Kluyveromyces lactis: one gene and its partner. The protein of the gene in region 2 interacts with the protein of the main gene of each other region in a pairwise test. Links are inferred from orthologs where the notes say so. Each region holds a gene or a part of one and is shown on either strand. Other genes may lie near its edges. The genes, in order: SRV2 and CYR1.

Region 1 (15,853 bases), on a different chromosome or scaffold from region 2:
AATATCATGGTTTCACGGCACATAATTTGTTTAATTCTATTATGACGGCAGATTAATTTGGTCTAGTCTCTCGGTACCAAATTCAAATGCGAGTGGCTCAAAATGTGTGTGTTCAGCGAGAGGATATCGTGGATTAAATGTGTGGAGAGGGCAGTGAATTTGAATCAGAGCAGAGTTAAGCTTGATTAACTGATCAATTAAGACTTCGAGACTTTTTTCCTAAAACTGCATGTTACTTGACTTACCTCAGACAACCATTCAGCAAGGAATGGGATTCGAGTTGAGAGAATATTCCGAAAATAGCGAGATCAAGACGGATATGGACTTACAATAGTGTGCTCGGTATTAAACCTTGCACCAGAAAACTGTGGGTATCTTGTGAAATGACTACAGTGTCTTATGTGAAATTCCAATACATCATCACTAGGAGCAGGTTAGTTGGCTGAAAGTGGTAACAAAAGAAAAGAAGTTTGAATGTACAAAGAAGAAACGATCAACGCGAATAACTTTATTTCAGCCTGTGGGCCTAGAAACAGTATGAAACAGTGCACGAGTCGAAACTTGCTTTCAGTGGTATTAACAGAATAGGCAAAAAATGCGGAAGAACCATTTGATCCGTCATTGAGAAACTGTGAAGACGAAATCGGAGAACTCTTTAGTCCACCTTTCATTCGATAGCCCATGGTTACGGAACTGAATTGCAAGACTATGTACATTTTTGTACGACGTAACATATTCGCTGGGCAGTTTCTTTTCTGCGGCTCAGTCAACGGAATATTTTGCAATACTAAATGAAACTTCATAACATGTTAGCTAATAAGCCGCTCTAAGTATCACCAATTCCGTTTATGAATAAGAGTCGATGTGCTACTGTGAATTCACATCTACTCGACTACAAGTTGACCAGCACAATTAGGATCAACCTGCTTTTCCAGAAATGTTCTCTTCTAGACCCAGTAACCAAGAATTTGCTCACTTTCCCTTAACAGGTATCGAGGCGTTAATTCTAAATAAAGCAAATGAGGGCTGAATTACAAAGCACCATACCTCAAAGTTTTGAAAACCTGGCTCTTGCTATAGTTATTCACCTTTTAATTATCAAGCAATTATAAATCTCAAACACTTCTGGACATACAGATGCGGACAGAGCATAATAGCAAATGAGATATTTCGTAGGATATTCGATGTAGTACGGCTTAGTGACGTCGGTTGTTGTTCAGGAATGTACAATTTCAGGTGATTTAAAAACCCTATGCTAAAAGGTTCGATGATCTTTATTTGAACTGACCTGAATGTTGGCTGTGCTGCCGTTGCGTCTGCTCAAACCTCTTACAGGCATGTTTCCGCGAAAAGTGATTGCTTAAGTAAGAAAGAAAGAATGCAGTCACGTGACAAATGCTGAAAGTCTTGAAGTCATTAAATACGTTACCACTGCTTCTAGAAATCATTATCGTTCAGAAAACAAAAAGTTTTCATTTCTATAATAAGGATTCCTACATTCTACACGAAACTGTTGCAATTACGAGGCCAATTGAGTGCTATTTTGTGTCAGTTTAATCCGTTATTGTATTGCAGTTTTAAAATAACTCAGCTATCACACATCAAACAGCAGAAACAATGTCCGAAACAATTGAAGGTAACGTTCAAATTCTAAGATTATCACCAGGTGACAGTACCAACTTCCCAAAACCAGGCGATTTGGTAACAATCCATTACACTGGTACTTTGGAAAACGGTCAAAAGTTTGATTCTTCCGTTGATAGAGGTTCTCCATTCCAATGTAACATTGGTGTAGGTCAAGTTATCAAGGGTTGGGATGCTGCTATTCCAAAGTTGTCCGTTGGTGAAAAGGCAAGACTAACTATCCCAGGCCCATACGCTTATGGTCCACGTGGTTTCCCAGGTTTGATCCCACCAAATGCTACTTTAGTCTTTGATGTTGAATTGTTGAAGATTAACTAGATGTATAATGTCATTCTTCTGAATAAAACACATACTATTAATTTCCTTCACATTTTTTCTTTGGTTTCTCCCTTGATTCCTTCCAATTGGTCCCATCCATTATTATTATTATAGCTTTACATCTTTCCGTACCTTCTCATCAACCTTTCAACATGGGAATTGCTATCAAATTGTAGCCGTAGTGTTTGTATGCTTCCATTTTAACATTCAATTTTTGTACATCAACGAAATGCCTATAATATAAACCATTAGCTATATTATGTTGTTATTGCATTATTGAAAAAACAATCAAGAACAACTACTTCCTGCTTCTAAGCCTGCTCGAGAGCCTTGTAGTTGGTTTTGTTATGGATTTTCTTCTTGTTCTCCTAGCTGGAGAATCCACGTCGGCAAGATCTTCAGGAACTTCCTCCGCAGCGGCAACTTTTTGTTTCTTAGGGCGCGGCTGTTGAGATGATTCCGTTTCGTTCTCTTCTGCTTTCCCTGTCGGCGAATTAGCTGATTCCTTGGCAGCACCTTCAGATTCATCAGCAAATGTGACTTGTTTTGTAGCTGTAGTATCTGCGGCATCAGCAGTCGATTCTTTTTCGCTACCAGATCTCCCTTCTGTATCGTGTTCGACATCTTCCTTTTCATCGGTGTTTCCGCCATGGGGTTGGTCTTCTTTGTTTTCACTTTCGTCATCAATGCCTCGCTTTTGTGAACGTGTCAACCTTGTAGAGCGTCTTGTCCTTGGTTTCTTATGAGCATCGACAGGTTCATCGACAGGTTCATTCGCCAGTTCGCTCACAGATTCTCCAACACTGACTGGCGGAGTGGTCGCCATTTCTTGTTTCGCCTGTACATTATTTTGCTCAGTATCCTTTTCATCGATATCCTTTTCTCGTTCCCGTGGCTCTTCTGACTCTTGTTCTACTTGCGTATCCTGTGATTCCGCACCCTTCAGTTTTGCCTTGTCATCCGCAGAAGCGGTCTCCTCTTGCTTAATATCTTCCACCTCATGATCCCTAGCATGTTCTAACATAAGTTCTCCATAATCTTCCCACGATAGTTCAAATTCCGTCTCTTGCTGGAGTCTATTTTGTAATGGTATTATATTTCTCTTAAGCTCGTCACAATTGTCAACATCATTGTCACTGTCATCATCATTATCTAGTTGAGCGTCCCCTTCTGTCTTTTTGTTTGTAGTTTCGGTTGGTCCGTCATCATTATAAAATTCAGGGTATGGCTGGTTCTCTACTTCATCTGCCTTCTCTAAATTATAGTACCGACTCAATTGTTCCCAAACGTCCTCCCCAGAAAACACTTTATCTGAGCTGCCTTTATCGCTTTGCAAAAGTTTGATTGGATACTGATCTGGCTTGTTCAATCGCTCAAGCAAACACACCATATGGAAGTGTTTATGTATTCCTGCAGGTTTGAACAGCATCATCCATTTAAACAGCCTTATTTCCTCCACTTTACTCCATGTTTGCCCTCTAGGTGATTCTATCTTTACAGCGGACATCGCAGTGAACCGTATCGTATTACTTTTATCTGAAGTATCACAACCTTATACACCAAAAGAACGTTCTTGCAATTGATATAATAAAGTTCCTATCAAGATCGCTGATAAAGCAGATCGTATGAGGCTTGATACCATCTTCGCCAGTCCATCTCAATATGGTTCTATGGTGTTTCTCATCTTTCTAAACTATGAATGCTAATATTTGATATCATATGTCACGAAATTCCTCTAAAAATTTTTCAATATCGGAAAGCTTCAAGCATTAGATAGCGTTTGATTGAAAAATATTATGCAGGTAGTTCGGATATGCAATGTATTTCCATTTCGAAGAGTCCGTAAGCAGTCAATTCTGGTTAGTTTTGTCAATACATTGTGAAGAAAAAGACCAGCAATGCCTAGGAAAGCTGTACTTCTGAACTCTTTGTCCAGAGGGAAGGTTCGTACCTCTTTTAACAAGTACAATTTGTTCAACTTGTATAAGAAATCTCAGGTCAGTTTTAGATCGAAAACACTATACCAACAGAAATGGACTTCTAAACAGGAAACTCGTGCCTACCATGGCGAACATTTAACAGAGAGTAGGTGGCAGTCTGTTTTCGAGCCTCAGCTAAACTCTGTGGCTCAATTAGATGCTTCTCTAAGGGGTGGTGATATCGAACCGACGCCCATTCTATTACAAACATACGCTGTACTAGAGAAAAGGCTAGACTTTGCTTTGTTTAGAGCTATGTTTGCCTCGTCAGTGAGACAAGCTCGTCAGTTTATTTTACATGGCAACGTCCATGTGAATGGTGTAAAGATTACTTCTCCGGGATATGCCTTGAAAGCTGGTGATGTTTTCAACGTCAGACCCGAAAAAGTGCTACAAGCTCTTGGTGCCAAGAAACCTAGCTTGAAGGAAGCTTTGAAAGTGGATAATACCCAAATTTTCCTATGGAACAAATATATTCTAGAGGCTAGAAAGAATCCTAGAAAGTTCTGGGATGAAAAGATCGAAAAACTAAGAACTATGGATAGTAACGATCCAAAGAAACAGGAATTTTTATCCTTCCTCGAAAACTACAACAAAACCATGCACATTCAAATGAGGAAAGAATTAGACCAAACCAGTAACGAGTATTTGTTAGCTAAGATCTTTTCTACCGTTAACCGCGTTAACGATGTAGAAAAATTGGCAGTAAAAGATTTCTTGGGCGAATTTTACAATAACGAAAATTTGGCAGCTAAAGGATTCGAAATTTATAGAGAAGTCAAGTCTGCCAAGGCTGTGGAAACGATAGCAGGGAAGCCTTTGGCTGAAATTCCTAATGAACAAGGTGAATTGCTAAAGGTGGCTACAGGAATAACTAAACCTGTTGATAACACAAACGATGCCTTAAAGAAAAAATTCAGAGCCATCAATCATACTATAGTTGATTTGAGACATTTCTATGAAACCGTGGTCAGAGAACATTATAATGACAAGATGGCATCCGTTGATTCTGTTGATATTCCATACGATGCTAAGTGGGCTGAAAAGTTACCATTGCATCAAAAGATCAATGTTCCTGAACTATTGGAAAACGAACCAGCTGCTCAAAAAGCTATCAATTTACCATGGCAAAAGGGTGTGTTTGGTCGTAACGATCCATCTAAACCATATTTCACTCCGTGGAAACCAAGACCCTTCTTAGCACCATTCGCCATTCTACCACACCATTTGGAAATATCATTCAAGACATGTCATGCGGTCTACTTAAGAGACCCTGTTGCACGTCCAGGTCAATCTGAAGTTATTACTCCATTCGGCTTACCTGTACATGAACGTTCATACATGTACTATGTGAGAAGGGGTAAATAAGTTGACGAAAACAAATACACACGAAAGAATGGATACACTGTGACTATGACAATTTAAAAAGAATGGTGTATCTTGGAAACCTTGTACATATTATTATCATTATTTTATCGTATCATATTATATTAATTATATATATATATTTATATGTTCTAATGAGTAAAGAATAAACTAACACCCAGTAACGAGAAGATATACTATTCAGATATTCAACCAGCATGTTCGTAAATCTTGGTTTGTAGTTTACCTTCGACGAAAGTGTGTATCATCTGTTCTGGAAGTGGAACTTCAACGAAGTCACCATCGGGACCAGTTGGAGTGTTGATGTTAATACCAGTGCTAGAAGAGGTGAAAATTTGAGCCTGTAAAGAGTTTTTACTCAAATAAATGGAGCCGCTATCAGACGCGTCGATGGTGATTTGTGGCAGGGTGTTTTCCACTTGAATACCAAATCTCAAACATTTAATAATATCCACACCACTGATGGAAGAATCTAGCACTAAACTGCATTTTTCTGTTTCATTGACAGTAACTGCGTTGACCTTACCTTTGATTTGTACCAATGTGTTGACACATTTACCGATGAAAACAGATTCGTCAATTTTAGTTTCGATCACTAACGGTTCGGCTTCATCTTCATAATTTTCAATAAACCATTTATTACCGATCAATTCCTTTCTTGGAGGCTTCTTAGTCTTCAGAGTAGATGGTTTCTTTGGTTTAGGTGGAGGAACAGCTTTGTCAGAAACCTTCCCTGAGGCACGAAGTTCTGGGTTCTTATGTGTTTGCTGAGACTTTTCTACTTTCTTTAAGGATTTAGTGATGTTTTCACCTTGGTTTAACTCAGCAAACACAGCACCGATTCCACCAGATTCTTGTTCTTTTGATTGTTCATTGACTTCGAATACGGAAGCCGGAGGAGGTGGAGGTGGAGGTGGAGGAGCTCCGGCGCCTGAACTATGCGGCTCACTGGAAGTAGCACCAGAAGAAGAAGCTCCGGATCCCTCGTTGGAAACTCTTTCGTATACGGTTTCGAAATCCTCACCAGTAGTGTCGTTCCAAGTCACACCTGTGGTATGGTATTCCTTAACGTACAGCTTCAAGCTATCGAAAACGGACAAAAATTGTTGGACCCATTCAACGGATTTAGGATCAGTGCTTCTGAATTCTTTCAAGATTCTATTTGTCCAAAACTGGGCAGCGTCCTTGAAATCAGTGATAGTAGACACAGGTGTAGATCCAGCAATCCATGAGAACAGTGGTGATCCCTCAGAGATAGCATTCAAATGAGCGAAATACTTACTGTTACGGTTCTCCTCTTTCAACTCACCAATAGAGAAGATGTTCTCGTTAATTGGGGTCAAACCTTTCACGAATGCAGATGACGAAAAGTCTGGCTTCTTTGATTGTACTGCTGCCTTTAAAAACACCAACTGAGCTTTGAAAGCGTTGGCTAAAAACACCACAGCTTTTTCAACAGTAGGATCAATTTCAGCGGATAATTTAACCAAAGGATCAACGTTCTGTTCAATGAAATGCTTAAATTCTTGAATTGATTTCGGTTCTTCCTCCTTCGATTCACCAGTACTGTTTGGTGCTGTTGCTACCGGTGTTGCGGCTTCTTTAGAAGCTGCTGATGCGCCTGAACCTGCACTAGCAATTCTTTCAGCAGAAGAAGCAGTAACAGAATCAGCGAACCCATCAACCTTACCGTCTTTCTCTAAGCCAAACTTGGATTGAACATAGCCTTCTTGATAAATCGTAACATCCTCCAATCTGGCAGTAGCATCCTCCAATCTCTTCAAAAGTTTTACCAAATTGTACCCCTGCACTGAGAAATTTGTTTCAGTCATTTTCCAACTTGCTTCAATCCACTCAAACGTCCTGATTACAGTTCACCGTCCGTATTGGAAGCCTTTCATACACCAAAATCAGAGCAAATGCCCCTATTAAAATGTTTCTCTTCTATTATTTTTTTGTTTTTTCTTGATTCCTTAAAAGTGTCTCTGATGAACATGTAAAAGTGACCATTGAGAACAAAGTTGACGAAAAACTCTGGAATGGTAGGTTAAGATGTTAACTTATGTTACGAAAGGAAACATCAGGTTACTATACGACTGTGGTACTCTGTTTCATTTTTCTTACGATTCAGGAAATTAGTACGGTCTTACTTTTTCTGGTTAAGATAGCAAAGGAGAATTCTGTTGTGTGTCCTTTATTGTAAATATGGCATCGCAGCATCGGAATGGTAATTCGAAGTCCAGGAATGGGGGAGGAAAAGGTGTAGGGAAAGGTTCTAACTCGTTGTTTGGGCGTGTTGGAAATTCTAGTGGCCAAAATCCCGTATTACAGAAGAAGCAGACTTTGGAAAGGGCAGAGAAAGCAAAGGCAGAAAAGGCCAAAGCAAAGACTGGATTGACATTTCTTGGTGGTAAACTTGTGTTAGCTGCTGATTTGCAGGGCAATAAAATGAAAGCCAGCTCAGATAAGAATAAGCAACAAATTCAATCGAACAAACGTGTCAATTTGCTTCATAATTTGAAGAATAGAGCTAGATCTAAGCAACGAAACAATAGTGATAACAGTAATAATAAGAAGTTGGTTATTTCATTGAAAGAGAGTTTGAAATGTTTAAAGATACGAAATTTGCCGATAGGAACGAACCCTTCTAATTTACAAAGAGTGTTACAACAGATGGGCAACTGCAAAGTTACAGACTTGAAAGTTATCGATCTTCCTACTGGTTCAGCCCACGCTGAGGTGTTTGCTTCCAACATGGATTTAGAAACGTTACACAAGAGGTTCAACCAGGCCGAAATTGATGGCAGAAGAATCTTAACAGAGATTTCTTCGCAGCCAGAACTTTAATTAAATATATTACAATCTCTGAAAGCGTTTTCGATAGCTTTTTAACTTCGATACACCTAACATAAAATACACGTTAAATACCGCATGTACCAACAACAAAAATATTGCAAATACACTTGTGTAATATCTATAATAATCATTAATCGTTTCCAATATCCCTTTTGATTGGTTTTGGCGGGTTTGCAAGTTTTCGTAACAGTGTTAGTTGGGCATCCCGTTTGGAAGGGAATCCTGACGCCAATGTGTAATACTCTAAAAGGTTCTGATGAATAGCCAAGCTGGCATATGTGTCCTTGCTTATCGTATTAGACCACTCTTCCTTTGTTGTTCTAGCACTCCCTACCCCTGGATGTTTCTTCCGCATATCTTCATATATCAGTTCCTCTTTCACTTTGTTACTCTGCAGTTAAGTCAGTAGTTAGTATCATTGGTCAGCATAGGATATTACACATAAATTGGAAAAAAAAAGTACATACCATTGTTTATAACTTCCTATTGTTCTCACTGATACCATTAACTTAGTCAAATACCTAGTATACTGACTGCTGTGACTCTTTTCATCCCTGTTTGAGATATCAACTCTATTCAAGTTACCATTCTCACCATGCCGACATTTTTCAAATATCGAATTTGAATATGTTAAAAATCTGTGAAAGATATAACACATACATTGCGCAACATCAACCTCATGATTGTAGCGTCCTGGTGACGGAAGAGCAATAGGGGTATTTGCATTTGCCAATTGAATTAGGCACACGGTAAATTGTTTTCATCATGGCATTGTACGACTGTTTGAATAATTTGGCTTCCAATCTTCCAAATGATGAACAAGTTACTTATTTTGACAAGACGTTTTTCGATGAACCAAGTCGTGGTGTAGAAACAATCATATCACAGTACCTTTCCTTAGATGCCAGTTCTCAGAAATCTGATTATGTGTATGATTTGTTTCTGGAAGCTTTTTCCTTAATCAATGGGAAATCTGATGAATCGGAGTTTTTAAATTTGGATGCTATCAGCAAAATAGTTAGTGCGTTATGCAACGAGGATAGATATAACTTCGAGCTATTTGTTTCGTTAGCGAATTCATACCCTTGGGAGGCGAACAATGGGTTTAATGATTTAGTTGGGTGTGCCAAGGATCTTCAGTTAGAGGTGTGTATTTATTTGAACGACCAAATTCTTTCAAAGGGTACAGAAAGATGGTCCAAAGATTTTTGGTCCGCATTCAAAAAGAGCATCGTTCCCGAGTTCTTCCTTTTGCAAAAACCAAATTTATTCCTAGAATGCTCTACTGGTTTCAGTCAACTGATAACGTTGTTGAATATCGCTTTTGAAGATGTTGACAAATTCCAATCTGTTCAATATTACAGTAAACAGTTGAAATATATTATGGGGAAATATAAGCTAGACCCAATCAGGTGCATGGATATACTATTACAAGTGTCTTCATATCATGTCGTACACCATTTTGAGTTTATTCTTGAGCTTTTGCAATCTACAGACTACTGGCCATCTTCGAATTTGGCCAACTGCTCACGGTATGAACAATTGAACCAAGGTGGTAATCCGATAGCTACCAGGTTGATAGTAAATTACCTTAATAATGGTAAACCAGATGCAAATTACATCGATTTAGTGGTTCATCTAATTAAAGGCGGGTTTGTCTCTTTTGCTGCTATATTCGATTGCCTGACCCCGTACGATACTGACATTGATGAGTTTGTAGAGAGGAAGCTGACGACATTGGAAAAGGAATCCTTGGAGGGATCTCTTAATCCGTTAGCTATGGCCTCCGTCCTTACTGACGAAGACAATACCATTTCGAAAAATACGGAAGGTGATAAAACCAATACAGCGGCAGATACTGGGATATCGGAGAAGGAAAAAGAAGCACTACTTCGAGAAACTGTTGAAAAATCACCAAAATGGAAACTAGTAGAGAGGTTACTTGTCAATGGGCACTTTGTTCCAGGATTGTATGCTCTATTCAAATATCCTCGGTTCTTTGCCGTGAACGATAGTCTCGTGAAATCTCTTCTCGAGGTGTTTGACAACATGATCGAACCCTTGACTGTAAAGTTGAGCCCTTCAGCTATTTCAGAACATTGTCGACCTCTTTTGAAGTTATCTCACAATGGAATTCCTACTAAACAAGATCGGTTGATCAGGCAATATAGGTCTTTGGGGAAAGACTACAAATACATTCAAGGGACAGAATTTGTATTTTACAATAAAGACTGGCGACAGAATTTGACTCCAATTGAAACGATAGAGAATCTCGTTCATTATTCACATCTAATATTTGAAAGCATCGGTCCACGTATTATTCTTAATGCTAAACTTGTTGAACATATATGCGCCATAGCTGAAAAAAATATTCTAGATAACCTAGAAGATGAAACGGTTATGGATTTATGGATTAATTACTGCAGAAAGTTTATGCTACCAGTATTAGGACTAGTCGAAGATGAGCAGTTTGTTGCAAATGCAATTTATTCGGTTATGAAGCACTTCCCATTCGAAAGAAGATACTTCATGTACCATGAATTAAGTACAAAGATTGCTGAAGACAACATACATGTCAGGTTACAATTTAATAAGTACCAAAAGCGGATAAGGTCACTTTTAAAATCTTTGAGTATTGACAACATTGCATTTAAGTGCAGGGATGTTGCTAACTTCGTGTCCTGCAATCCTCTTTCAACTCTAGACTCTATCCTAAAACAAATAGAAAATTATGATAAAGTCTCTGAACTAATCGTCATAAGTGCCGAATTTTTCTCAGAATTCGCTTACGATGTTTTACAGTATACGTTATTAATTAAGCTCACATCGGAAAGGCCAACTTTACAAGATGATGGTATTACTCCCAAAATGTGGATTAGCAGATTATCTTTGTTCATTGCGGGTCTTGCTAAAGGCTGTTCTAAAATGAGTATGTCCAACATATTCGTGTTTTTGGTCAAAAATCTTTACAAGGATCCATCGCTTACCCTGGCTATTTTGAAGGAGTTAATCTCCCAAGTTGCAGGAATACAAACGTTGTATGATGTAAATTGGAACACTTTGCTAATGATAAGCTCAGGATCCTTTTTAAAACAAATCGGTAGAAATCTTATCTTGGATTTCAGAGATAAGTATTATCAACCTTCAAAAACTATTGTCAATTACTTGTTAGAGCTTAATGCAGTGTCAGAAATGATTATCATGCTCACAAATTTGAATCTTAAGATTCAAACCGATAATAACGTTCATTATAAAATCTTATCAGCGAAATGCGATGAATCCAATGCATTACTTTGGTCATTTATTGAAATGTTAAAGCACATTTTGACTGAAGAACAATTCAAAGCCAATATTCTACCTTTCAACGTTTTAATTGAGAAATATCAATTTCCTGTTGAGTGGGCGTTTGATATCTGGAGGCATTATTTCGATACAAAGCTGGCGAGATCTGAAAATGATGCTGATGAAATCAACGAAATTCTATATGAGACTGATTTCAAAGGCATCAATTTTGAAAATATTGATAAACGTCTATTCATTGATTTCTGGCGGTTATCCTTATATGATATTAGATTAGAAGAAGATTTGTACACGAAGCAGAAAATCATTTACGAAGACAAGAGAAAGGCTGCTAAAGTTTTGAAAGAGAGGCATAGTTTATTAAGCACAATACAGACAGTCAAATTTGATCTATCTCAGCATGCAAGCGTTTTTGAAAAGACAAAGAACATGATTAAAATGAACAAGGAGACATGGTTCCCCGAATTCTCCCGTGAGCGTATTACCTCATTTTTGCAACACTGCGTTGTTCCTAGACTCATTTTTTCACCATTTGATGCCATATTTTGCGCAACTTTCATTACTGAAACATTTAATATCGAAGAAGTAATTGATATCTTAGGGCAATTCACATCCTCAAACATTTTAGGAACCTTACTATTTTCTTCTACGGTAAATGAATCGAGCAACATCGCTACGTTTTTGAAGGACATTATTACCAAAATCGAAAATTGGAGACATACTACATTATTGGATGATGACAAAATTAAACCTGTAATATATGACCTCTACTATCAATTAACAGAACAATTATCATTTACCTTAGAGGATTCCAATTACATGTCCATTAGAAACACAATCCAGTTTTTAAATGCTATAAGCGAAATCTTCCCTGTCGTTGATGAACATTTGGAATTGGTTTTAGACACTTTGGATCATTTAATTGAACACGAGCAAAGGGAGGATATCATTTTGCCATCAAACGCTTTGAAAGGACACTTAAAGGCTAGACTTAAGAACGCCTCTAAGACATCGGATTTCCGTGAAGTTTCAGCGGAAGAACAGCAACAACTGCAAGACGAGATGAATCTCATCAAAAGGTACCAAGATATGAAGGAAGCTGCAAAAGCAGAGCAAAGTAGAAAGGAAGAAGCAGAATTGAAAGAAAAGGAAAGGGAAAAGGCAAAACAACAGGATGCTGAGAACGGTGCTGCAACATCTTCACTTACCGCACCATCCATGTCGTCCATATCCAACAATTCTCCATCTCCATCGCAAGTCATGGATGGCTTTTATAAGATCGAGAAGTACATTAAGGATGCTGAGTACACCAGAGCCATTCCCTTGATATACGATTCTAACACTCAGAGTGATTTTAGAAAATTGATAAAAGCTCCAGGCAACATCTCTGGATTTAGAAACAAATTGAAGATATTGTTCGAGGACTATTACCACCGAGTCACTAGTAATCCACCTGATCACTACAGATCTGTCTTTGAAAATTTTATTCAAAGATGCAAATCTGCTCCTTTGCCTCAAACCAAGACACCTGGAAGTATGTATGAAGATGAAGTAGTACCTGTTAAACCTTCATCGAAGTACAGTGGTGAAAGATGGAACTCCAACACTTCCAGTAACCGTCCAATACCTAGTGAACCAAGAAAGGCAGCTTCTTCTCGTTATCAACATGGTATAGCCTCAACAACTCTGCCAAGAGCACCAGCCAACGCGTCTAAGCCTCCGGATACTTCCTCAAGACCATCTGGTCCTGCAAGCTCAGGTTCATCTAGCAGATTCCAAAACACATTACCATCTGGCCCAAGAAAAGATTCGTCTAGCAACAGAAGTATCAGCAATTCAAACACATCACAGCTTCCTAGCAGACCATTCAATCAAGGGAAGAAATTCGTTAATACTCCCTCCGAACCACGAAAGAGGCAATCTGATGAATCTTACCAAAGTTCAAGCAGATTCTCAAACGTTAAAAAGCCTAAGTTGAACGATCGTTCTACAAATAACCAATCGCCATTACCATCTGGTCCAAAAAGACAATCTGGAGGATCGAGATATTCGAGGTGAATAAAAATACTTAACTCGACACTTAGTTAAATAGCATAGCATAATATATGCTACCAATTATCTTCGATTTTGTACGGTCTTTCCCTGAGACTCTGATGCTTCTTACCACGTAAAACTGTCAATATGAAAAATGTTGAAAAACATAGACCTATGTAAATATAAGATTGAATCAAGCTAAACTACATATTTACAGTTTGAATAGAGCTTCTTTATGGGTCAATAAGCACTGTTAACACCTTTCAATCGATATAGGCATTAAGTGTAATGAGCAATAACGTGATAACCGGAGCAAATGGTCGATTAGATGTTTATGTGAGTAAAGCGAAGGACCTTCCAAATCTAAGAAAGTTAGACAAGCAAGATCCTTTCGTCAAGTTAAGAGTAGCTCATCTTACGGAGATATCTCCAGTGATATACAGAGGCGGCCAAACTCCAAAATTTGATTACCATTGTGTTTTTCAACTAACGCCCGATATCAAGCCTCTACTCTGCGTTGAACTGTACGATGACCATGATCACAAACATGGTTCGAAGCTCATTGGGAAGTGCGATGTTGATCTTTTGCCTGCATTACTAAGTGACCCTGAAGAAGGCCATGATAGGTGGTATCATCTGAAGAGGGGTCCTTTGGAAGCTGGTAAGGTGTATATTGAATTGACTTTTGTTCCAAATAACATTAGCGAAGACAGACGCGACAATGTTCCAAAAATAAGTTCCAGTGTACAGTCCAGGTCAGTACCACCACTACCGTCAGATCCACCGGAGTTACATGCACAATATGAACTGCAGACATCGGCAAGTGAGCAGCGGTTCGTTGCTTCCGCATCCCCAGGCCAATACGTTCACGGCTCTCATATAAAATCTCCACTTCCTGATCTACCTATAAACCTCGATACTTCTAGATCATCACACGCTTCAAGTGAAAGAATAGATTTTGATTCATCGATGGGGTCTAATGCTACAGCAAATACCTATCATTCGCAACAAAGCCAATCTACTGATGGGCTGATGGACAAGTTAAAGCTGATCAAAGAAAAATTGAATTATTTCAAGAACGGCTCCTCGGTACCATCTACAGAGAGTATCACCAACACTGCGATGGATTTGGAAGTCTTACAGAAAGTGGTAGGTGGCGGTCTCGAGAGTAGCTCAAGCTCAAGAATACCAACGAACATTGACGAGCCATCGCCTATGAATCACCTTCCTACAAAATCGTTTGTTGAACCGCCATTACCACCTCTTCCGACTACGCCTTCAAGACTATCCAGCCAATCTTCAGTGAGACATTCAGCCGGACAAAAATATCCGTTAAAATCTCCTGTGAGACAACCTACTACTCCAAGGCTACCGAACTTGCCAAATTCTTTTTCTTCGCCTTCTTCAAGATCAGGCTCGGTTTCTCCAACAAGGAGGAGACCACCACCATTATAAATGACTTATTAGAACTACATAATCATTGATAGGATAGACAGTTAAAAGTTTTTCTATCACTACTCATATTAGATGTTCCTCTTATCTTCTCGAAGCCTTGGAATCTAAAATGGTTTCAATCGTTGCACCTTGAATTCTGTCAATGCTAAGCCTTTTTGCATGATTATTCAACCAAAGGGTCCTAAGATGAGAAAAGAATATATAAAGAAAGAACTTTAAAGTAATCGCACAAGAATACTCGAAAGAAGACTCTGCTGTATTATGTTTGATACTATTCGAATTAGGAACCTCACTGCAGTGGATTAATGATACGACAAGATGGTAAATTGATAATTCTGCCCAGTAAAATAACTGTCGGAAAACAGCTTGAAGTTGGAACATACTTCATGTTAAAACTGGGTCAAAATGCAATACGATTCAATTCCATTAGGGGAAACTTAGAACTTAATGTTAGAGCTGCAGACTGGGATACTAATATGGAGTTCATTATATTTAGGCGAAGGCCACGATTGAAGAATGATCTTCTTGGTTGTCGACGGAGGGACGTCCTAGACCAGGATTTTATTAATATCAACAAATTGAGACCTAAAGCACTAAGAGAATATTATGTCGTTTGGAAGTCTGTTGAATTGAATTCACTTGCAAAAGATGTCCAATTCATAGTAGACATCGAATTTTTCCCATCAAGTGGCCCTATTATACCTTTGAAAAGCCCACAAAGTCCAAGCGAGAAGAGCTCTCCAGTAATTAAGACCAAACTGCCCAAGCAACTACCTCAGAGTCCCGAAAGTAAACCCGCTACAACACCCAGGGACCAAGAATCTAGTCCTAAATTTTTTCCCCGATTAAGAAGACATTCTAGGCATCAACGACGTAATGAT
Region 2 (15,677 bases):
CATACCCAATAACCCAAGGACGATTCTCAGTTTATGGGCAGTTTCTTTCCTAGCAACAAAAACTACTATTCTCTTCTGGCTTGTATTGTCCAACTTTCTAATCAATTGATATAATAATGCCGGTTTGAGATGATCTCTTTTACGTATACGGATGAACTCCTGTGTCAATTTATCTGCTGCTTGTTTTGGAGGATCAATCATAATCCTAACAGGCTTCTTTAGAGATAGCGAGATTAATTGCTTAATTTTTGAGTTCATTGTAGCAGAAAACAACAGAGTTTGTCTCTTACTTGGAATGAGAGACATGATTTCTTGTAGTTCCTCTTGGAAACCTTCTTCTAACATTCTATCAGCTTCGTCAATGACCAAGATTTCAACTGAATCAACGCTGAAACTCGCAGAATTTCTTAAATGATCGATAAATCTACCTGGTGTGGCAATTACGATATCAGGTCTGGTCTTCAATGCTTGTTCTTGTTGTCTTAAATTCAAACCACCGACGGCCAAACCAAACGTTAGTCCGTTAACAAACTTACCGATATTTTTACCAACATCAGCCACTTGAATAGCCAATTCACGGGTTGGAGTTAGTACAACAACCCTTGTTGATGCAATATGTGCAGGTTTGTACAACAAACGTTCGATGATAGGAATCATAAAAGCAGCTGTTTTACCAGAACCTGTAACAGCACCGGCAATGATATCTTTACCAAGAAGGGCAATAGGAATAGCAGCACTTTGAATTGGAGAAGGACTGGTGTATCCTAAACTTCCAAGCCCTTTCAACACAGGACGGGATAACGACAAGCTGTTGAAAGTTTTATGAACGATCTTTTTAGCATCCGCACTTTCCTCTTCTGGAGCATAAAATTCAGCCATTTCTTCTTTAGTGTCTTCTTCAATGTCTTCATCTTCGTCTTTTCCCTTACCTAAATCTGCCTGACTCATTTCGGTCTTTTTGTCGTCATCTTCGTCGTCATCCTCTTCTTCTTCATCCTCTTCATCTTCTTCATTTTCCTCTGTTGCCTTTCTCTTGACACCCATACCGAACCCATCCAAAGCTAATTCATCTTCATCATCACTCTCGCCAGGTTCGTCTCCTTCTTCTGGTTCTTCTTCGGACTCTTCTGATAGGCTTTCTTCGGCATCACTGCCTGTAGCAGCCATCATAATCAAACCACCTTTTCTTCTAATGATCCCATCTAGATCGACATCTTTTTTCTCAACTTCATCACTCTTCTCATCACCTTGGAAATCCCAGCCTGCAAAGTTGGTGGTAACTTCTCCGCTGTCAATGGAGAATTGGAATTCTGGATTCAAATCTTCATGGACATCTTCGTCCAAGTGAGATCCCTGTTGTTGCTTGGCCTTCTTTTTAGATTTGTTCTTAGTTTTTGAGGACTTCACTGGCTTCTTTTCCATTTCGTCATCAGAAGCATCTAAATCTGGAACATCTTCTTCGCTATCACTAATTGTAGGAACAAAATCATCGAATGATCTAAACTTCTTAACAGCCATATTAACGAATGCCGTATATCTCTTTATTTTCCACTTACCTTAATACTCAATCAAAGAACAACAAGAATTCTATTCTTTCTCGCAAAGTAGAAATGAGTGAAGAATAATAGCACTAGATAAATAGTATGTCACCTGTAGAAGTTATAATAAGGAACAATGAACAGTACTCACTGCTAAGTTATTCTAGTTGTCGTAGCTCATCTCAAGCTCATCTCATCGCCATTCCAGATGTGAAAAGCTTGAACATGGAAAATTTCTTTTGAGGAAAAACATATCGTCAAGTTAGGGTAACCACTGGTTGTCAACATGGAAACTAGTTCGGAATCTCTAAGCAACATATTAAATCCAAGATGAGTTGTGATTGAGACATGATTTGAGAGACTTGAAAATAAAGACAGAATTGAGTAGTTAGTCCTCTTTCGTTACTTATTGCATTCCTCCTATAATATTCGGTGAATTCTTTTGGTTGTTCGCACCAGTTATATTTGATAGAATTGAACTGTACCAAGTGCAGTTTTAGAAAGGCGACCGATTAGAGACATTTCAACCAATCAGGGAGATGGCTTCGCTTAGACGATACATGCGTGTTCCGAGAGAACTATTACCCACTGAAATCTTCAAACAAGAGTCTCAGTCCCCTGGTAAAATAATCGTTCAGATTATACTCTTGCAAATGTTCTATTATCTCACTGCATCAACTTTGTTTTATTGCTGGGCGAAAATATGTGGGTACGAAATAAAGCTAAAGCAATGGTTGTTTACATGGCAGGACATTGATTTCTCAAACTCTTTTGGTATTTCTTTATCAGCCCTTTGGTTAATTGATTCCTTGATTTGTGTCTTTTTTTTGACCATCATAGTGGGAAGGAGTAAACTCGCGTGGGATTTTGCCATTACAATCCATGCTATAAATCTAGTAGTAGTATGGACACACACAGGGCTATTCCCTTCACTAGCATGGTTTATCTTGCAATTTTTGTCTACACTGATATTGATTTTCCTTGGGACTTGGATTACCAGGTGGAGAGAGTTGAAAGACACATTTTTCGAAGGTATGGTGGATGACGATTCTGCACCTGCCAGTGCCAGCCAGCCAGCTTCTCAAGTTCCAGGGAAAAGCATCGAACTTAGAGATCTAGAAGCACAAAAATAAAAAGTTTTGCATGTTTATATACTTATGTAATGGAAATGTGTTATATTATTCTTGATGAAATCACGACAATTAATCAAAGGGTCCGAAACCATGAGACATTTTCGACGTAACAATAAAGAAATCAAGTCCTCTACTCCTCCGGAAAAGATTTGAAGCTTTGTTGCTCGCTCTCGTCATTATGGCTGTTTTCTATGTATAATTGGTTTCTGGCTAGAAGGTCATCCAGCAATTGGAAGATTGATTTCTGTTTCATTGCATCACCAGATTTGTATATGGTTAAACCACCCTGGACCTGTTGGCGTAAGTTCATTAAGACGACTGACGATTCAATTCGGGTGATTAAATGGTCAAGGAATGCAAGAAGATCTGCTTCGGACGAGTTTTTCATAACGGCCTGTTTGGTATTACTATCAAAGGTAGTATATCGTCCATTGGCAGAATTTTCCAGCCCGATAAGACCACCTTGGACTGAGGAGAGGACAGTCTCCAATCTATTGGACACTGATCTAATTTGGAATAGAAAATCATCTGAAATAACACTGTTATTCTGATCTTGTGTTGCCAAAGTGTGTCTCGCTTGAAGTGATTTAGGATATGCTATGGTGACAAGTTCTTTAGTTTCCAACCCTTTCAACGTTTGTTCACCAAGCTCGACGAACATCCATCCTATAGACGATAATATGTGTATTTCTCGTTCTAAAATTTCACCCACAATGTCTTCCCCGTAGGCTTTTGCGAGCGGAATATTATCTTCAGTGACTTGCTGGTGGTAGCTTAAAATCTTCTTAAACTCTACCATAAAATCATTACTGAGCATGACCTGTCCTCCATCAGCAATACCAGAGACTCTTGCAGCTTTATTCACAACAGGGCCTAGATAATCCATTCTCTTGGTAACAACATCGACTTCTGGCACAGGACAACCCCAGTGGATACCCATACGCACTGAAAGACCTTGATAAATTTTGTTGCCGCTAGTGTCCGTGATCAAACAACCGTCCCTGATAGATGTTATCTCACCCGGCCATTCAGCCTCCAAAAGTTTCAATTGAACACTTAAACACCAGACCAAAGCACTCGTAGGTGTTGGGAATGCTACCATGAATGCATCACCTTCAGTCTTCACCTCATAACCACCAAAAATACGTAGTTGTCTACGCATTATTTCGTTATGTGTTTTGATAGCGGTTCTCATCGCATCAGGGAATAATTCCCAAATGAAAGTGGAATTCTTTATATCGGTGAAAACAATGGCAACATTACCTGTGGGAGGGGGGATCTCAGGTTGAAGCCTTCTGAGAGAACTATCTTCAAATGCAGTTTTTCTCGATAACAAATCTTTTTTGCTTATATTGAATCTATTCGTTTCAGTAGCACCCTTTTCCACACTTATACAGACAACTGTCAATTTATCAGTACAGCCATAAGTTATGGCATAGTCTTTCAACTTTTCCGCAGCCAGCATAGGTTCTGAGCCATTCTCACGAGCAATATCAGATGCAATTTCATAACCGATATAATTCCAAAGATTATGTGATGCAATAATTATCATCTGATCTGAGAAGGTCAACTTGAAATCCGAAATATCTGGAGATGCATGAATATGAGGCAGTAAATCGAAGAATCCTACGGCTCTAGAAACTTCAGAAACACCATCTAATTTTTCACTATTGACATAACCGCCTGCAATTCTTATTCTTTCATATTCATCTCTCTTAGTAGGAACATGCAACCTAGTCAAAACCTCGTAATCACCATTATTTTTCGCTAGAATAGCTCCGATGTTACCAATGTTCGCTGTATACACTGACTTGCCTTTGAAAAATACGACTGTTGCAGATGCACCACTGAGCAAATCAACGGTAGTTAATTCAGATTTGTTCAGGCCATTTTCAACAGACACCAACATCCCGTTAATTTCTTTGTTAAGCTGTAAGAAACTGAACCGCAATGCTGTCCTTATGTTTTCGTCAGTATCGTCTCCATATTTTTCCAAAGCTCTTGTTAAAATCTTATCGTATATGTCTCTGATGATTTGTGAGATTTTATGACCAGAAGAGGCGTTTTCATTCACACTATCGTAAAGACAGAACAAGCACTCATCATCCTTGCCTCTAAATCTTTCGTACTTGATATCTCTAGTTGACACGGAGCTCTTTTTACCCAAAGTATCAGCAACACCATACTTCATACCATTAATCATGGATCCGGTAGTTCTTAGACGAAAGTTGACACCATCGTCAGGAACCTTGGAGGTTTTCATTGTAACATCCATCAACCCCAAAATTTTTAACTGTTTTAAGATTGTCAAGTCGGACAAATCTGTTTTAGTATCAGGGCCAATCATTGACTTTATTTCGAACCTTTTATTCCCAGAAAAGTTCAAATATTTTAGGTTCAAATTATTCATCCAGTTCCAATCATAATGGTAGTTTGAGATATTGTATTTTAATTGATTTGAACCAACATCTAGAACTGTCAAATTCGAAAGTTGAGAGAGCTCCGATGGTAGTGACATCAGCTTATTACCATTTAACATTATCACCTTCAAATTCTTCATTCTTTGGAACACTTCACCGGGCAAGCTGGTGATAGCATTGCCGGATAGATACAACTCTGTCAACGATGGTAGGTTTAATGCAGAAATATCAGAAATATCATTATAAGAAAGATTGATTATCTTCAAGCTAGTGTTGAAGTTGAATAAAGGAAGCATCTCATTATTGAGATTGTTGTCAGCAGTATTGAGAAATAGTAATGATTTTGATAAAGGGGTATTTTCATAGTCCTCTAATCCGGGGTTGTAGCCAAGTAAATTAGAGGAGAAATTTAATGTTGTTAGCTCTAAATTTACAATTGAAATGGGTAATTCTCTAATATTATTACAATGTAAATCAAGTGATTTAAGATTGGAGAGTTCTCCTATTTCTTCCGGAATACTATCCAACTTGTTGTTGGCGGCAGAAAAATGAATTAGTTTTTTTGAGTACTTGATTTCCGCAGGTAAACTTGTTAAGTTATTGTCATTTAATTCAAGCTTCTCAAGCTTTTCTAAAGTTTTCAAAAAATCGATAGGTAAACTGGATAGTTTTGCCTTGTTTAGAGATAAACTTGTAAGGTTAGATAACACATTACCTCTATAGTCGAACGAAGTAACAGGATTTTCTGTCAAATCGCAGCTTCTTAGTTTAGGTAGTGAATCTTCCCAAACGGAAATTCTGTTTGAGGTTAAGAATAAATTCTGCAAATTTGGGGCGTTTGATTTGATAGTGGCAATTCTATTGTTTTTTAGATTGAGAGTCCGTAGGTTTGCCATACCTGACAAATCGGGAACAGCTTGAATTTTATTGTTGGATAGGTTCATCTTCGCCAACTTACTTAGTTCGTTGATGGAAAGTGGAAGTGAATTTATCTTATTGTATGAAAGATCAACCTGTAATAAGTTTGTACACCTATTGATAACTTCGGGGTACGCCGTAAATGCATTGGAGGAGATATCCAACAACTGCAAGTTCTTGAGATTCTTAAATCCAGATGGAAGTCTGTCTAACTGGTTACATTGAAGGTTCAAAATAGTAAGATTGGACAACTTGGAGATGGATTCCGGTACCCTTTTGATAAAGTTTCTCTCTAGGTCCAAGGAAACTAAATCATAAGCCTGTGTAATGTTGGCTGGGAACCTAGATGCCCTGACATTAACCATTCTCAAACTGGATAGCTTAACGGCACTTTCAATGAAATCGATAGGTAAAAAGATATTAGCGTTATTAGAAACATCCAAACTCTCGATTTCAGAAGTATGCTGATAAAAAATGATAGGAGGTGTAGTTAAGTCCATGTTTCTCAAGTCAACATGAATGAAGTCACCCTTCGAGAGCCTCTGTTGTTGTTCTATTGTTAATTGGGAAGTGGTCACCGGGTGGAATTTGAAACTAAAAACAAAGCTGACATCTTCGAGCCCCAAAATATGGAGCGGATCACTCTTCTTGTAACCATTCAATAGTAATAACTTGATCTGGATGAGGATTGGATTTGCAGTTGGTCGTAAAATCTTAGATAGTTTACCAACCTTCAACGACAACTGGAAATTCCCCTGTTGAATATTAAACTTTTTCTTTATTTGTGGTATAAGTTCGGCCACAGATGTATTTGGACGACATGAAAGGGTTGTGAAAGTATCATCGACATTGAAGATTCTAATAGCATATTTTTTGGTTTGGTCAATATCCGAAAGATCACTATAATACTTCTCAAGCATATGTTCTTCGTATTCGGTTTCTCCATCTAGTTCTGTATATTGTTCGATATTTTTTTGTGATAGAGGCGAACCTGGTCGAGATTGCGTCTTAGCAGAAGTTATATCGTCTAGGCTTTCTGATTGGGTTTCAATGGAAATGTCTGAGTCTTCGTCGCCGTTGGGAGAAATTGTGAAACAAAGATCGCATTCGGAGCTTTTCGTTTCTGATAAATGCAGTCCCGATTCGTCATTCGATCCTCTGTTAGGAGGAGAAGTGCGCGGTGACAATGCGTCTTCTTCAAAGTCATGATGGTGTACATGAGGAATTACTGGCTCCGAAGTATCTTTCGCAATGACATTTTTTGGAACAGACCCCTTGGTATGTTTTCCTTGTGATTTGCTGTACCTTTTGCGGTTTTTCCCTCTATGTCGATTGGCCTTTGACATCTTATGTCTTTCTTTAATTTTGTTAACATCAAGACCGACCGTCTCATCAACATCCCAGGATTCTGGAGCAGTCCATTGTTTCCGTAGCGCAAGTGTAGCATCCTTGGTATCTTGTGACGCATTAGGTGATTTTGGTGGAACTTTGTCCGTAGTTTCTGCGGAGGGTGCATTAGAAGTAACGACGACATCCGTCATATCAGAAAGTTTGTCTAAATCTAGGTCAACACCAAATATTTCTTTAGCGGCTGATAATTTAGAAGCATCAAATGAGGTCCCTGAATTTCTTCTTGACAGGTCTGTGTCAATACTTCTGCCTGCAGAACTTACTCCATGTTGTTGGTTCGAAACGCCACTTGTCGCATTCCCACCGCTTAAATTTGAACCATTGCTGGCTTCGTTACCTGAATGTAACAGGGAGCTGCCCTTAGACCCAGAGTGTTTCATATGAGGAGCATTTGCGGATGTCAAAGTAGACGCCGCAGACATGGTTGAAGAACCATGTATGAATGTGCTCATCTTTCTCCGCAAAGCGTTAGTGGGAACTTGCTGTTGCAGAGACTGTTGATGAAAGGGTGACTGCTGTTCACCATCTGAAGCCGACACTCTGCCACCTTGGCTTATTTGATTATCTGAATCTGGAGGCCCTCCTTGGCTTGCCAGAGATGATTTCCTGCTGGTAAGTTTCTTGAAGAAATTAGTTGCACGTGACGGTTTGGTAGTTCCTTTATGTCCATGTGAAGTAGCTGTTGATACTGACAGCGTACTGGAAGTGCGCGAAAGTAGCGGCAGGTTACCTCTTGATGAAGTTGCGGTCAGGTTTGCAGTCCGGGACCTTTCAAAAGTGGGTTTCACCGGTTTTGCCAAAGGTGGTTGAGGATTGTGCGCGAATGATCCAGCATCACGAACTATAGCAGAATGGAAACCCTTTTTCCCAGGTTTCACCTTCTTCGTAATTGCATCTATGGAATAGTCCTCTTTAAAAGTGGGCATACCAACGTCTTGCCATTCGCTATCGGTATCGCTTCGTGGTTGTAACTCCCTACCGCTATTTTTACTTGAGATACTGTTATTTGAAGAAGCACTGCCAGCACTGTTTCTTGCTCCCGAGGAGATGGAGCTTCGATTAGTTTCTTTCGGTTGTGGATTCATAGTTGACCTCTTCTTTCTCTCGCACTGTGGTTTGTCTTGAGTGGTTGAATTTACAAATGAATACAAGTACCCATAAACCAGCACTTAAGAATCCAAACAGGACAGATTATTATAAGGAAAATGATTATTATCCAACTTCTGACAAAGATTATGCCAAAATGAAGTGAGACTATAATCGATTGTGTTTTTGTCAACAGAAATTAAAATTACAAATTGCTGTTGAAGATATATTATTGTCTTTAATTACAAATAGTGTCAAATCAAAGTCTGATAAAAACCAGTGATTAACTAAGAACGCAAAATGATCAACGTACTTGGTTTTTTCAACACCAGCGTAAACACGATAACACAATTGAATCGTTGTAACACTATATTTCAATGAGCACTTGGGTTATGACAATACCAGAGTGAAGTAGGGTTTTACTATGCACCTGAATTTCCAATCTAGTGCATCAGTATGTCCGTATCAAACATTATATTTTGCACATTTTGTTATTTCACATTTTTTTCAGCTCTCCATCAATTCAGTGAGAAATTTTCGTTTCCAACGTGCAAAGTCTCCCCTTAACAAAAAGGGAAGCTTTGACATCATCATACGTGGAACGGTAATGCTGCAATGTGAGGGATCCAGCTGCTAGCTTTAATGAGACCTCATGTTCAAACTGAACCTACTGTCCGCTTTTCATTTTACTGCCCTAAGTTAAGGATGAAGAGTATAAGAGAGGTGATAGGAGATATAAAATTACCACGTGACTGATATTGCAAACTCAGCAATCAGTTGAAATTGAAAGCTGATCTGGTGGTTTTGATATTCTATACAATGTACCAACTTCTTATTTATCTCTAGGAGAACTCTATCGAGCCTGTAATTCAACTTCCAGCAGCTCTCCATATGGACTCTTCGTTCGAACATTTTTACCATATATGGCGGATTAGATAATCAATCGGACAAGTCACATGAGCATTATCCGGGTAATGAAATCAGACACTGAATGTTAAAAGTTCAAAAAGGTAACTACTGAGAAGCTTCTCACAGGATTTAGTAATACAACTAACATGTCGATGGTTTGTAAAGAATTGTAGGTAAGTTATTGAAACCAGCCCTTTAATCTGTCACCATTTAACCTGATACCTTTCAGTTCAATATCCAGACACATCCCAACAGCAAAACTCTATAGAAACAATGCCACAAGAGACCAACACTGCTCCAGTTAAGACAGAGACAGAGGCTACTAAGCCAAAGCCATGCTGTGTTTGCAAGCCAGAAAAGGAAGCTAGAGACGAATGTCTTCTATTTAATGGCCAAGAATCCGGTAAGTGCGATGAGTTGATCGCTAAGTATAAGACCTGTATGAAGGGATATGGCTTTGAAGTTTGAATCTAATGCGACAATGGCAGCTGACCCATTATGACGAAACTTTGCGAAGAGAAGAATATTTATACATATATCAATGTTTGGAAGGTTTGGAAGGTTTTCGACTACCCCATCCTCATTCCTGTAAATACTGCGATAACCAGAAATTCCAAATTCCAACTTTAGTATACCTACAACTATACAAAAATCATTTATGCAATTAAAAGCATAGTCTTAGAAGCTAGGTTCTGTTAATAATTGTGTCTTTTTAATAGTATCATTGAAACAAAAGAAAAAGAAGAAGAGCACGTGATTATTCATTTTTTTTCACCTGCGTTGTCTCTCGAATGCTCATCTCCATCTTCAGAAAAGTTTACAATGAGCGCATGCATGCATTAATTTAAATAAAACTGTCTGTAAATTAGTCCTTTCAAATCTGATCTGGTGAACCAAAACTCTTCTAGTTCCTCTTTACAACGTTATTCGTTTTATGAAAACGTTCGTCAGGAAGTTTAACGTTATCCCGAAATTCTACAGCTTTAAAATGACGAATTCTACGCAGTTACCTCAGACTTTTGATGGGACTATTGATCTAGGAATCATTGGCGGTACTGGTTTGTACACTTTGGATTGTTTGGAACCAATTGCCATTCTTCCGTGTATGGAAACACCTTGGGGTAAGACTTCTTCTCCAATCACGGTGTCTCGTGTAAAATCAGATGAAACTGAGCATTTCCATGTGGCCTTTATTGCTAGACACGGTGTGAATCATGAGTACCCACCAACAAGGGTTCCATTCAGAGCTAACATTGCTGCCTTGAAGAACTTGAAAACCAGTGCTATTTTGTCCTTCAGTGCTGTCGGTTCTTTACAACAGGAAATTAAACCAAGAGACTTCGTGTTGCCTCAACAAATCATCGATAGAACCAAGGGGATCAGAGAGTCCTCTTACTTCAACGATGAAGGCCTAGTTGGGCATGTTGTGTTCGGTGAACCATTCTCCAAGTCATTTGCTGAGTATATTTATCAATTCAAAGATATTCTGGAAAACCCAGAGTCTGAAGAACCTTGCCTGTTGCACTACAATAGAGAACTAACCGTTGTCTGTATGGAAGGTCCCCAATTTTCGACCAGGGCTGAATCTAAGATGTACCGTCTGATGGGTGGAGATGTCATCAACATGAGTGTGATCCCTGAAGCGAAATTGGCTCGTGAATGTGAAATTCTATACCAGATGGTTTGTATGTCTACCGATTATGATGCATGGAGAGACGAAGAAGAACCAGTGTCTGTACAAACTGTTATCCGTAATTTACAGAACAATGCCAAAAATGCTAACCATTTGGCATCCCGGGTCATTTTAGAAATGGCAAAGCAACTTCCTGAATTTATGAACAACGGTGATGGTCTAAAGGATGCCATGAAGTACTCCATTTCAACAAAACCTGAAGCCATGTCTCAAGATGCCTTGGCCAAGCTAAAGTTTCTATTCCCAAACCATTGGTAACGCTGTAAATTTCTCTTCTATAAACTTTATAAACTATACGCGGTAGGTAGCCATGTAAGTAATAACATTCTTATCATAACTGCTATCAGAGGTTCGAAACCAAAAGAAGAAGAAAAAGAATCGTTCTCCGAAGTACGCATGCTTTTCAGCGCTTCTTCATCGCACTTGGTGAGTCCATCATATAAGTATACCGGTTGCTTGGAATATATCCGGGACGAGTGTCTGGCTGTGAGCGTGTCGATGTGAATAAAGTTGTAGGAGTATTGGAGACATTTGTTATGTGATCGACACCAAAGGCGTTTACTTTCTTCGGTTGTAAAGAGAAAGATACATGATTTTTTTTCACTTCTGCTTGCTGAAGGGTATTCAACTCACGCATTTTCATTGGAGTCTGTAAAGATTTGAATATGAAAGGCTTGTGGCTGGATTTTGATTCTGCTTCATTTAAGGATTTCACTTTAGAGTTACCTATATTAATTGAAGGATCAAAGGATCTACCATAGTCGGGGGTGCTTTCCACAACCCCTAACAAGCGTTTTTGATTCTCGGTTAGATGCAAATCTGATATGTCCGTATTTTGTGCTTTTATCAGCAAGTTCCAAAGACACGATGCAATGTTAAAAATGACAATAGTATGGAATATACTGGTTGCAAATTGCCAAGAAAGCATTTGGAACCAAAATGAATTGATGTTGGCATGTGGGTTAATCTTATAAACAACGTTTTTCAATACGAAAAGATACAGTTCGTCTCGAAGTTGGGATCCCCTTTTAGTGAATTGGAAGAATAATGACACGAATTTGTATATGAGATTCCAAATCATTGCCAACACTACATTAGTCAACAACCTTCTCATCTCCAACTCTTTATTAACCATACGAGATGTGAAAGCAGCCAACGCCGGGTTTTCGAAATCAGTCAATTTATCATATGCGGAATCTTCGGAAAAGTTCAAATCCGTTTGTTGTTTCTGTCCCACCGGTTCGTCCGGTAGCAGATCAGAATTTGTCACTGGTGCGGTATCTTGCTGTGTAGAATATGCCTGGTTACTTTTTCCTCGAAAAACAGGGGATGCGGTATGTGTATTAGTTGATGCTGAAGGTTTCGCGTCAAATCTGCCAGAGAACGCAGATGCAGCAAACACAGAGGAAGAATCTGACTTGGAAACATCAGTCTTGCTGGTAGGATCACTCAATACCTTGTGTTTATACAATGCAGGCGACTGTTTGATAGCTTTTTCCCTTAAGGATTGAAATTGCTGCTGGCTCAAAGGCCTATTGGGAGTCTGAAAAGTCTTGGCCGGTGTGCCAGGCGCAGAAATTCCATTATCCATTGCTACTCTCACCTTTTTCCTTTATATATCTTGATCCCTGTATTTACGGGGTAAACTCTCGATCAATTACCACAGTAAAAACACCACTAATATCAGGATATGAAACTTACCGTATCCAGGTAAAAACTGAACGATTCTTATTTATTAACATTGAAGAACTAGCTGTGTTTTTAGTAGTTAAACTAAGAAGTGAATCTTCAAGCCGGCCTCTATCTCTTTCAAGTGAAAAACATCTCGTTACCCGCACCATCTTGTGCCAGGGAAAAGAAAAAATTCTTTTTGCTTCGTTTGGTTCGTTCTTTAAGTTTTGATGTTCTGTTCAGCATGGAAAAACCAGAAACAGTCAACTTTTGCAGATTAAACAATTTTGAGAATAGAACATTGGTCATTGACTAACTCTCTTATTTTAACTGCAACTTAATTTTTTTTGGAGGCCATTTACAGAAGGGCAGTAAAGTCTTGAAAAGTACCGGGATTTGTCAGTGTACGGGTACTATATCAAGGGGCCAGTGGTTTCAGGGAGCCTGATTGGTTTGTGTATTTAGGTTTTTTTTGTTTGCTATCTTTCTTTGCTTAGATAGAAAGAAAGAACATATATTAATAACAGTATCAATCCGTTTGAAAAACCAATCTGATTAATATCGGTTATCCATTTTTTTTGGGCTCAGTGTGTGATTTTTGGTTTCTCTCACTCGCTCAGTGTCTCGATTTATTTATAGGTCGCTGTTGATTTTGTTAGGAATAAAAGTGATGGGATTCATTGCATCTTTATTGTGTGGTTCAAGCGATTCGGATAGCTCTAGGAAACAGAAGGGTAGGAATTCATCGTCAAGTAACAATAGTAATAAAGGTTCTAGTGGGTCAAGCTCGGAGAAAAGTAAGAGCAAGAATACGCTAAGTGCAAAGAAGAGTGGACGTCCAGGGGTTGCTGCGACTCATTCAAGACAATCAGAAATTCATACTACGTTATCCAATTCTACAGCCAAGATGCATCTGAAAAAGAAAAATGCGGCGAACAAGCATAGCTCAACTGTAGCGGCTGTTGCAAGTGCGCCTGTTGAGAAGAGTCCGCTGTCGAAGAATACGGCTGCTGTTAGTAATAACGATACTGATAGTGATGTCGTTGACGTTGACATGGTTGGAGAGGAAGATGACGATGTGGATGTAAAAGGGGATGAAAAGCAAACACTGTTGGTATATAACGCTGAATCTGATACAAGTACTGGCACAACTGCAGACACCGCAGTGTCTGCAACTCAGCCAACTGCAGAGGTCACGACCACGATTCACGAGACTGAACATACCAGTAGTGCGGATGACTCCGAGGGCATTCATAGTCAAGGCGTTAGCGATGTAGAAATGACAAATGGGGAGCCCGAAGATGGGGAACCTTTGGATTTGTCTCAATTGCAGCCAGATCAGGCCCATGCACCGGGGTGCAATACCTTGTTGTTGCCGAAGGCCGATATGTTTAAGGGTAAGAAATGTCTAGTCTTAGACCTGGATGAAACGTTGGTCCATTCCTCTTTCAAATATCTACGTACTGCTGATTTTGTTATTCCTGTGGAAATCGATAACCAAGTTCACAATGTGTACGTGATAAAAAGGCCTGGTGTCGACGAATTTTTGAGACGCATTACTGAACTATACGAAGTCGTGGTGTTTACTGCAAGTGTGTCCCGCTACGGTGACCCATTGTTGGATATATTGGACAAGGACAAAACTATTCATCATAGGTTGTTCAGAGACTCCTGTTACAACTACGAGGGCAATTATATCAAGAATCTTTCCCAAATTGGTAGACCACTATCAGATATGATTATCTTGGATAATTCCCCTGCTTCTTACATATTCCATCCTCAGCACGCCATTCCAATCTCATCCTGGTTTTCAGATGCCCACGATAATGAATTGCTTGACATCATTCCACTTCTGGAAGACTTGGCTGAAGAGAGGGTACCTGATGTTGGGGAAATCTTAGATGTGACAATATAATTAGTTGGTACTGATTCATTTTATGCTTTGTTTATGCAAACGATTGCATATATTGGGTCTTTTTTTTTTTTGCATGACCACATCTTCTTCTCTCTCTCTCTCCCTCTCTCTAATATTCATTGCCATAGTTTCAAATTGATAGACTCATTAGTACTATAATACTCATCATATTATATTGGGCAAGCAAGGCTGGTTCTTCTTGTGTTCACTTCCTCTTTTTTTTTTTTTTCTTTTTCTCTCACTTTTATTATGGAACTATACTTCTAATCTAATACTGTAAAAGAATATGAAAGGATTCAATTCGTTACATGCAACCCATGATTCAAATTATAAAGAAGATATCTGCTAATCTCGGTAAAAGATAGTTCCTTGCTAAAAACGATTTTTCATTGAAAGGAAAACTTGATCAACTACCTTGATTTATAACTTCAAGAAAAAAGAGACATGTTTCGAGCTTATTAACGTTACAAATTTATAAATATCTAATTCAAAACTGATAGAAATTCATATATTTTATTCATCTTCGGAATCGTTGGATCTATTCGAATTAGATTTCTTGTCGTCCTCGTATTGAAAGACAGTACCGACGATTTGTTTCTTCCTTTCAGGTAAAAATGGCATGTCTTTCCTTGTCTTTCTTTCGTTTCTTTCCCTTCTCTTCAAAGAATCAATTTCAATCTTCTTAATCTCTTGAGCTTTCTTAACAACCTTAGGGACGTGTCTGTGCCTGCTAATTCTTCTGACCTCTGGCATGTGCTTGAATCTTTCTTTAAGTTTTTCATCGTATTCCAACTTATTCTTTTCACGTGTACTCTTCGCATTAGATCTCTCCCATGCCTTGGCTCTCCATAGTCTAACGTTACCATCATCTGAACCACTTACTATATACTTACTGTCCATGGTATATTTCACTTGGAAAATATGCTGCATTCTCTTTGTATGATATATTTCTCTCGAATGACCATGTTTAACTTGGTAAATTCT

Evidence for each region.
Region 1: the proteins of CYR1 (region 2) and SRV2 interact in binary tests that used the Saccharomyces cerevisiae proteins (3 or more experiments, as listed by UniProt). The link is inferred for Kluyveromyces lactis from reciprocal best matches to the Saccharomyces cerevisiae genes CYR1 and SRV2.

The regions. Positions count from the first base shown.
Region 1 is NC_006037.1:996,576-1,012,428, reverse strand, and holds SRV2 (adenylate cyclase-binding protein), read right to left. Parts: upstream 7,160-15,853; coding exon 5,516-7,159; downstream 1-5,515. Other genes in the region: peptidylprolyl isomerase FPR1, read left to right, coding at 1,618-1,962; EAF7 (Eaf7p), read right to left, coding at 2,261-3,469; NAM9 (mitochondrial 37S ribosomal protein uS4m), read left to right, coding at 3,861-5,309; KLLA0_A11616g (uncharacterized protein), read left to right, coding at 7,533-8,174; U2 snRNP complex subunit YSF3, read right to left, coding at 8,314-8,574, 8,651-8,653; THO2 (Tho2p), read left to right, coding at 8,949-13,541; INN1 (Inn1p), read left to right, coding at 13,806-14,972; KLLA0_A11550g (uncharacterized protein), read left to right, coding at 15,278-15,853. UniProt on the Saccharomyces cerevisiae protein: The N-terminal domain binds to adenylyl cyclase, thereby enabling adenylyl cyclase to be activated by upstream regulatory signals, such as Ras. The C-terminal domain is required for normal cellular morphology and growth control.
Region 2 is NC_006042.1:1,440,576-1,456,252, reverse strand, and holds CYR1 (adenylate cyclase), read right to left. Parts: upstream 8,505-15,677; coding exon 2,802-8,504; downstream 1-2,801. Other genes in the region: DRS1 (putative ATP-dependent RNA helicase), read right to left, coding at 1-1,518; SYS1 (Sys1p), read left to right, coding at 2,078-2,671; copper metallochaperone COX17, read left to right, coding at 8,930-8,959, 9,721-9,882; MEU1 (S-methyl-5-thioadenosine phosphorylase), read left to right, coding at 10,349-11,365; POM34 (Pom34p), read right to left, coding at 11,511-12,698; PSR1 (phosphatase), read left to right, coding at 13,449-14,693; rRNA-processing protein SOF1, read right to left, coding at 15,207-15,677.